2 linked regions of the Arabidopsis thaliana genome follow. The protein of the gene in region 2 interacts with the protein of the main gene of each other region in a biochemical or structural test. Each region holds a gene or a part of one and is shown on either strand. Other genes may lie near its edges.

What was found. Proteins that work in one complex are often made in the same cells at the same time.
Region 1: the proteins of PUB23 (region 2) and ATS9 form a complex in vitro, tested with the Arabidopsis thaliana proteins (one study listed by BioGRID).

Annotation. Positions count from the first base shown.
Region 1 is NC_003070.9:10,178,322-10,183,449, reverse strand, and holds ATS9 (non-ATPase subunit 9), read right to left. Parts: upstream 3,149-5,128; 5' UTR 2,853-3,148; intron 2,852-2,852; exon of another isoform or gene 2,579-2,851; intron 2,237-2,578; 5' UTR 2,211-2,236; coding exon 951-2,210; 3' UTR 662-950; downstream 1-661. Other genes in the region: AT1G29140 (Pollen Ole e 1 allergen and extensin family protein), read right to left, coding at 3,639-3,985, 4,253-4,421. UniProt on the Arabidopsis thaliana protein: Component of the lid subcomplex of the 26S proteasome, a multiprotein complex involved in the ATP-dependent degradation of ubiquitinated proteins. In the complex, RPN6A is required for proteasome assembly.
Region 2 is NC_003071.7:15,081,960-15,086,499, reverse strand, and holds PUB23 (plant U-box 23), read left to right. Parts: upstream 1-1,940; 5' UTR 1,941-2,159; coding exon of another isoform or gene 2,160-2,163; coding exon 2,164-3,399; 3' UTR 3,400-3,645; downstream 3,646-4,540. Other genes in the region: AT2G35935 (uncharacterized protein), read right to left, coding at 2,160-2,270, 2,793-3,011. UniProt on the Arabidopsis thaliana protein: E3 ubiquitin-protein ligase that negatively regulates water stress response. May control in coordination with PUB23 a drought signaling pathway by ubiquitinating cytosolic RPN12a.

The sequences.
Region 1 (5,128 bases), on a different chromosome or scaffold from region 2:
CATAAACCTATAGAAATCTAACTTTTTTGGTCTTTGTAGCTTCGCATCGTTTAAGTGTACGTAAAGTTAGTTAAAGATTATGGACATTAGTCTAGTTAATCTTTCAACCAAGAAGAAACCTCATTCAATTGGACATTTAAGTTTTCACTTTTCAGCTATAAACTGACAATCACACAATAATGGGATACCTACATAACTAGAATAAGGTTTTTACTGTTTATGAAGAAGAAATTGAACAAATATTGGAACACTCTAAATGTTTGTCCTTCCAATAAAAGACCAGTAAACCACTAATGATAAATAACCTTTTCAAACAGCCAAAAAAATGTCTTAAATCTTAACGAAATATTATGATTTGTGAAAATATATGCCTTATCAACATTTTTGTGGATGACTGTAGTATGTCACATTTTAGTGTTAACATTTAAAATAAACGTTTTAACAGAATTTGTTTACTTCATCAATAATCACGAAGCTAACTAGAAAAGCTACTGTGATGAAGCAGCACATAAAAGAATATGACAGAAGAAGAGAACAAAATCAAGACTTGCTTGTGTGCAAGTCATGTCCTGAGTTGAGAAAAGAAATGGTGGGTCCTGTGAATTGAGTTCTGGGTTGGTCAGAATTTATAAATGCGGAGATAGAAAAATCAATGAGATTTGGATGAGGTAAAGATTAAAGGTTTTGGAAAAAGAGAACACAATGTTGACTTGCGAGGCTAAGAAAAAGAAACTGCAACAACCAGATGAAAACAAACTACATTTTAAGCACTAATAAAAGGTAAGAAACCATGACATAATAAGATCATAAGCAAAACGAGTAATGTGAACAATTCAGACAAGTTTACTTTCTCCATTGAGAAACATCAGTTTCTTTGAGTCCAAACGATATCTAAAACCAGAAAGAAAGAACGATAGAATGAGATTCATACGACCAACTCACTCACTCTCTCAGGACATGATTTTGGCAGACCGGACATAAAGGCTGTCGACGACCTTCCCCATGTTTGCAATGGTTTCGAGGGTAGCCGAGTAGATAGCATCTGCCTTTGGGTCTTCGAAGATGATGAGGCATCCAGCTCCTTGATCCAAGGTACCTGCAAATTTCTTGTCGAGTATCATCTGAGATAGCTTCTTTTCCACATGGTCGAGCGGCAATCCAATGAGCTCAGCAATGTGAGCTATCTCAACTCTTGAGAAGGGCTCGATCAAACGACACAGATTTTGCTCCAGAAGCGTGTCATAGAGAGAAGAGAGATGCCTGTGGACAATTGGGTCATCTTCAAGCTGTGCTTTGTAGTCACGGAGTGCGTTCTCAAACAACTTCAAGGACCTCTTCGAGTGAGCATCAGCGACTGCTTTCATGGCATCCAGGTCAGGGCCAACGTACTGTAGTCCAGCCTTTGAGGAGATTATTCCTGCAACATCATCAGCTTGGCTAACCATGATCTTGCACAGTAACATGTACTTCAAACTGAAAACCGCTCTCGGATCTCCGAGAGCGTTGAAGGACTCAAAGGCTTCAAAGAAGTAACTGTATCCGGTTTTGTAGTCTTTCTCTTCAGCATGAAGAATCCCACTCTGCAGATCTATCGTGCCTTGTTGAGCTGGTGGGACATATATAGCGTTAGCAGCTGTCCTAGCTGCAGTGAGTGCAGCTTTTGCCTTGGGTAAGTTTCTCAATGAGAAGTGAAGTTTGCTCTCCAGCAAGTCTATGTCGACCAGAAGGAGCTTATCATCTAATCTCCTAACCTCTTTTACCAAAGTACTCAACAACGCCAAAGCTTCAACATACTCCTTGTTCTCCATCAAAAGAGCTGCAAGCCTAGCCTCTACTCGCTGCCTGAGGAAAGTACGCTTCTCAGCGCGGGTCCATTCGACCATCTCTTTGCAGAGAGTGATCTGGAGATCAGTTGTTCCAGGAATCTTTGCCACAGCATCAATGATTCCTCTGACGATTTTCGCAGTTTTCGCCTTGGGGATTAAGGAAAAGAAAGGCCTCAACTTGGTCAACAGTTTCCGGAGATCCTCACCTCTCTTCTCTTCAGTCAATCGATCACAAAGGTTTGTAATCGCTTGCTCCTTGATCCGTATAGCCTCAGGAGATGAAGAAGGGTCTTCCAAAACCTGGTACAGTATCGTAATAGCCTCCGAGCTGTTGGCTTCTAAAGCCAGGGAAATCGTCTCTGTGGTAGCACGATAGGAAACCATTGTGGGTTTAGTGCAAACTCAAATCCCTGCAACAATAAAGCCATAGACCTGTTAATGCAATGTTCAAATATTTCTCCTTTCAAGCTTATTGATACTCTTTAGGTTTCACATCACTACAAAAACAAATCCATCTTCGATACATTACCAAGATAATCAGATAAAGACAAGCCACGATGGTAATTTATCACTGTAATTTATCAACTCTTCTGTACCTAATGATCAAGACAAGCCTAGAGATCTATCAAAGACAAAGATACAACGAGGCTACAATAAGTAATACAGGAACTGAATTACAAAGCCTATGAAACTATAACCTAATTTTTAAGTAATAAGATGAATCACAGAGACATAGTTCAGTAATTACTAACTTATTCAGTTCGAATTCTTCGACTCAAATACTTTTAAGATCTATTTAATTTTGTATTCAGCTTCTTTCAATCAGAATTAGAACATCCTCGGGCCCATCTTCACTGAGATCAACTAAATCGAAGAAAGCTAAACCCTAGAACTATCGAGACAAGGAACCAGATGTGGTTTTTTAAAACATCGAAAACAATACGCATACCAAAACCCAGAATTAAGCAGATCTGATAAGCAAACCCAGAAGAAGAATTAATGAAATTTCGCAAGAACAAGACTTACCGATGAATCGTCGGGGGCGTGAGATTTTGGTAAAGCTTTTCGACGACGGTATAGAAGAAATAAGAAGAAGAAGATTCGAGAGTTTTTTTTGGCTTGAAAGAAAAGATAAATGGACAGTCTTCTCGTAGTTTTACAATTTTTTGAAGGGTATATTTGTCTTTAGATGCTGAAATCAGGAAATAGAGAACGCTTAACAAATTCGGCGTCTTAAAATCTAGCGTTTCGGATTCAGAGTTTGAAAACCAACGCCAGACGCTGCAAAAGATCCTGGTGCAAACGCTTGTCGTGAAAACGCGTTTTGTGATTCAGGCCTAGTGGCTCAGACTAAAGGCCCAATATATACAAAACTCTGATCCGCCTTCTTTAGGTAAGGGTTCGATTTTATTTGTTGTCTTTTGCTTATTTCAGTTTGAGTCATTTACCTCAAACTATAATTCACATTATATGTTACATATGTAGCTTTCTCAAACTGTCATAAATTTCACTATGCATGTAAATGATTTAAATTTATTTTAGAGTAGGGTTTTTCACTACATCATGCATGTATCTGTTCAATCGAAAAGTAACAAATAAATATTGGAAGGTAATCAAATCATTCGTAAAAAAGAACTCCCAAAAATAAAACAATAACAACGAAAAAAAAACATGGTTAATTAGTAAACTCAGACAGACACATAAAAAACATAAATAAATGTTTTATATATTAAAAAGAGTCATCAAAAAAATTGAAAGTGTTGAGACTTTGAGAGATCGATGTATATGGGTGTGTATATATGTATATTAAGCTTAGAAGGTGACGTCAGGGACGATTCCAAGCTCCTTGAAAACTTGAGGGCATTCAGCGAGAGGAGTCTTCCTCATGAACCCAAGTGGGTTAATGGTTCGAGTCTCGTTGGAGACAATGCCATCATTGGCCGTGAGACTGATTCTGGCTGCGTTTCTTAGGAATTCTTGGTTGTTCACGTCTCCACACTCTGGGTCAGGTGATTGGAGGAGGACGATCTCGCACACTTCCTCTTCGTGGTCACCCATTACTTCCATCTGGTAGTTACCGGCGTTGTCGGTCACGGCTTCTTTGGTTAGGGTCACTGTCTGGTTCTCACGACCCTTGCACTCAAGCTTTACCTTTGCCCCTGATATACACACAATAACGTAATTAGTTTTTCTTATAATCTTGCAACACTAACTCTTAGAAATGTGACTAACCACATTTTTATAAAATTTTAACATTGTTAAAAAGACGTCTATATATGCTTGTAATCATTTTTGTGAATTTTTACTACACAATTCTAACCATTGACCTATATACCATAATGGGATCGATTTTTTATCAACCAATATATTTTGCTATTGACAGTATGCTCAACAAATGAATTTGATTAGAGAATGTGGTTAATTACCCTCGAGAAATTTGCTGATACGGGTGATGAATTGGACACGGCATGTGTCGCAGTAGACGGAGCCCTTGATGTGGAATTTGTCAAAGTCGTCGGCATCAGCTGCGGTGAAGTGAACGAGGGTGGTGAAACATAGGGCAGAGGCAAGGAAGACAATGAAGAATTTGGCCATTATGCCTTAATCCTTTTTTTTCTTGTGTTTTTACTTCGGTCTTCTCCTCTCTTGGATTTGAGAGTTTATTTGTAAAATTTAGTTTTTAAGGGAGAACAAATTGTAAGCTTTGGTTGAGAGGAGACGCTATGATAGATCCAACCAAATATCTCCTTTTATAGAGAACAAATAGACAAAACAACAAAACCATGTGATTCTATATCTATTTTTGGAAGTTTTTTTGTTTATTTTTGGTGTTTTTGTTCTTGAGTTTTGTACGGCTGTGTTTTCCTTGAACCCGATCTTTTCTCATTGCCATCTGTTTTTCTTTTCTGTTAATAATTCTTCATAGATTCCGTTTAGGTCTTTTTTGTATGAGGATGGTTTCCCAAATGTCAATCTATAGAATCTTATGTATGTTTAGACCTCCACTAAAAAGATTCAATGGGGGTGGAGAATTATCTACTAGACCCCAAAGTGAAAGTTTTATTAGTAGTAAATGACTAATTAATCTGAGCCGCACATGAAAGCTTTTGCACAATTTTCTTTGAATTAAGAAAAATTCCAAAAACAAATTGACTAGAAACAAATGTCTTCAGCTGAATCTGTTATTTTGAAGAGTAGAGGTTGAACATATATAACTTTTCTCTTTAAGAAACCTTAATCTATAATAACATCTTTCAAGTGTTGTATCATCAACAAGCTAATACAAGAAAATCATGTACAGA
Region 2 (4,540 bases):
GATGATGAAATTGAAAATTTGGGTCACCCACCCATATCGCAGGGGCAAAGAAGAAGAACTTTAAAAAGATGCTTCGTCATCAAGTCAAACTAATAAGTTTAACCGAGAAAAATGTGAAGAATCAAATCCTGATAGCCGGTTGTTCCGTCGTCGGTCGAATGATCTAAATAATGTAATTGTCTAACAGAGATTGATTTTATCGTGTCGGCATGCTCAGTTCTGCCTAAAACACAAGAGCATTAATGCATTTTATTATACGAAACAAAGGCAAGCAAAATAATGTCAAAACAAATATTAAAGACTGTTGATTATAAGAATATATCCGAATAACGACTTATTTTGAAGCGTTGGTTCCAGATAACTCTTACTCTACTCTTTATATCAATTGTCAATACAAAGCAATGAAAAAACTATTTAGGCAACGAAGCAGACGACTAAAAACAAAAGAGTTCTAATCAAACAAAAAATAAACTCCAAAGCCAACCAGAGAGAGCAGTATAGCAATGTAAAACATAAATAAAACAAATATGTTACTGAAAAATCATGTTTTCTGATACTTGAAAAAAAGAAAGATCAAATCATATAAAAATCATTTTTAACTTTTTATTATTTATATATAGAGCTGTCTCCACATAATTACTATTATTCCAAAAATAATTGTTCAAATTTTATGTAAACAAACGTCATCAAACTATTCCATGAATAAAATTGTTCAAATTATGTCTATTCGCTTACGTTAAATATGTAACAATATGTTACATGTATGATACATCAGAAACGAAACGACGACAACAATCTCGTGGTAACAATGTAAATGATAGTGAATTAGTGATGAGGAGCCAACTATAAAGATTTATCATATCGTGGAAAATACTTTAATAAGAAATTGTATGCTAATGTTTATGTATAATTTCTGAAAATAATTAACAAAAATAAAAGGAGATATTTTTTTAAATAACAAAGTGATTTTGAAAAATAAAGAGAGGATAATACCATTTTGGCAAAATTGTATATTGTGATATTCATGAAGACCATAAACAAAATTATCCTCGAACGAGATGCCATATCATCAAAGTCGAGAAACGATGGGTTAGAGATTTGTAGTTTTGTTGATCGTGTGATGTTGCCAAACTACGGGTTCGAAAGTCTTAAAGACCTTTATAAAGGAAATGCGTCGAGTATTTTGCTCGAGAGCCTCGGTTGGGTCAGTGTCAACATGTTGAGTGATAAGCTCGAGGACATTAGTATCTATGAAAGTGGAAATGGTTATGAAGTACATGTATGAGGGTATTGGTTACAGGGATATGAAAGACCCATGTGCGTTATATGGTTATAGTATTCATATATCAATAGTAAAGCGACATCACGTGATATTTTTTCTTAATGTATCAAAATTCCACCAATTTCTATTTTCATTTTTGATTAATAAATACATTTCACTTTGATAGTATTTAGTAAATATTGATGAATAATCAACAGAAACAAGGCCGTACGAGAAAAGTTGTATACTCTCACTATTATATTTTATTTTACGACACAACAAAATGGAAAATCTTAAGTCAAAACGGGTGGCAAAAATGTGTAAAAAGAGAGGAAGAATCAATCAATTAAAAGACACAAAGCAGACAGTAGACACTCTTGTCTTCACCACCGCCACGATCGCGACCAAATGGCTCTCTTTATATTTTATCACAATTTTCTTATCCGTTTGTTACAATCTCTCTTTGAAAAGTCAAACCTTTTCATACGTCTCACGTGTTCTTTTTTCTTCACCCAACTCATCAGCGAAAATAAAAGGTCAAATCTATGTTCCTCGTTCGTTCCTTCTATGAGTAAATAATACTAATAAACTTTATTAAATAGGGGCAGATTTTTTCTTTTTTTAGCATATAGTTATAGGGACAGCTTTACAAAGAGTGTGTAATAACTAATAATATTTGTATTTTCCGTGTTTTGACTTTTTTAATAATTGTGAATTTTTGACATCTCCTTTATATTTAAACCCAACCTCCTTTCTCTCTTCCTCCTAACTTATTCAAACCAATTCACATCTTCCCAAACCCAACTACTACAACTTGTATTAAGAAAAAGATATATTCCCTTAGCTTCTTTGATCAATATATTCGTCAGGGTTCTCGTCAAAGTCCTCAGCATCTTCATCATATGTCCGGAGGAATAATGGATGAAGAGATCGAGATTCCTCCGTTCTTCCTTTGTCCTATCTCTTTGGAGATCATGAAAGATCCAGTGATAGTCTCTACCGGAATAACCTACGACAGAGACAGCATCGAGAAATGGCTATTTGCAGGCAAGAAAAACTCGTGTCCGGTCACCAAACAAGACATAACCGACGCGGATCTCACCCCGAATCACACTCTACGCCGTCTCATCCAATCTTGGTGCACCCTAAACGCCTCCTACGGCGTCGAGAGGATCCCTACCCCAAGACCTCCGATTTGTAAATCTGAGATCGAAAAGCTCATTAGAGATTCAGCCTCTTCCCATGAAAACCAAGTCAAGTGTCTCAAACGACTTCGTCAGATTGTGTCGGAGAACGCGACCAACAAGCGGTGTTTAGAGGCAGCGGGAGTACCGGAGTTCTTGGCCAACATCGTAAGCAACGACTCAGAAAATGGGAGTTTGACCGACGAAGCCCTCAACTTACTTTACCACCTCGAGACCTCAGAGACAGTCCTCAAGAATCTTTTAAACAACAAGAAAGATAACAATATCGTAAAGTCGTTGACGAAGATCATGCAGCGTGGGATGTACGAGTCCAGAGTCTATGCCACTTTGCTTCTCAAGAACATTCTCGAAGTAGCGGATCCAATGCAGAGTATGACTCTCAAGCCAGAGGTTTTCACTGAGGTCGTCCAGATCTTGGACGACCGGATCTCGCAGAAGGCGACCAAAGCTGCCATGCATATATTGGTGAACATATGCCCATGGGGAAGGAACAGACACAAGGCCGTGGAAGCTGGAGTAATCTCTGTGATCATCGAGCTTCTCATGGACGAGAGCTTCACATCAGAGAGGAGAGGTCCAGAGATGGCGATGGTGGTTCTTGATCTGTTGTGTCAGTGTGCGGAGGGACGAGCCGAGTTCTTGAACCACGGAGCAGCCATAGCGGTGGTGTGCAAGAAGATACTTAGGGTTTCACAGACAGCAAGCGATAGAGCGGTTAGGGTTTTGTTGTCGGTGGGAAGGTTCTGCGCAACGCCTGCTTTGTTGCACGAGATGTTACAGTTGGGGGTTGTAGCGAAGCTTTGTCTTGTGCTTCAAGTAAGCTGTGGAGGTAAGACCAAAGAGAAGGCAAAGGAGTTGCTTAAGTTGCACGCTAGGGTCTGGAAGGACTCGCCTTGTCTCCCAAAAAACATGATTCTTGCATATCCCTGCTGATGAAAACGAAGAAAACAATACAAACAAGTCCAATTCTCAGTGAGAGCAATCACATATATGAGAGATGCTGTTGAAAAAACTAAAGGAGTATTCAATTATTCATATCATTAATCCAATTTTCCTTAGGTTTCTTATTTCGTACTTTTGATGTTCTCAATGTAGATAATAGTGGAAAATGTTCATCAAATATTTTTTTTTATGAAAAACTGCAAAGATATCATATATAAAATCACAAGTTACCAGGCTATTGTCACTTTCATTTTCATTATTTTGGTAACGCTTTTATTTTTAAGTTTTTTTCTTCAATTTATGTATCCTCTTAATCTCCACTATAATCCAAGTAAAGGAGTATATATATATATATATCATTTAATTTCATCATCTCTTATTTGAACGAGTAAATGTGTAAGTTTTCTCCTAAAATATTTTTCTTTCTTTTGGTTTGTAGGATTATTTTGTAACATTCAATTAGACAAAATTCTTTTCTTCCAAGTTCTTATTTAATCCGATGCACGTTACCTCGTATTTTATTGCAAGAATCTTTGTATAATTTTTAACAATTGGGGCACATGGTCTTTATATATATATTGGCATATTGCAAAGCAAAAATTTTATACTAGCGAGGGTACCCAAAAACAAAATAAAAAGAAAATCTTTAGTCTAGATCGCATCTAGTTGAAATTTCATTCCTCCAAATTACAATATTAATTGCCATTCTTATAAAACACATAGAGATCAGTGTGTTATACTTTTGCATCACATGTAATGACTCATATTCTCATTGACCAGCGAAATTAGAAACGTCGAAGTACTACAGGACGCAGTCGAGAGAGTGAAGACAAATATTTATGAAAGAGATATATAGAATACAAAGAAAGCCACCTAAAAAGAAATATAAACAAAAAAAGTTGACACAGAAGAAAAATTAGGAGCAGGCCAGTATAGAACCACACCACCCGGAAATATAGTTTATATCTTTTAAACAAGTAAAAGAATGACCATTGTTTATTAATGGTAATATATAATCTGAAGGAATTAGCTAGTGATAGAAAAATAGAAAAGTAGTCATCTATTGCGAGCAGCTCTCCAAAATCTGATGAGTTTAAAAGTACAAAAGGTAGGTCCAGATTGGACCACAAGT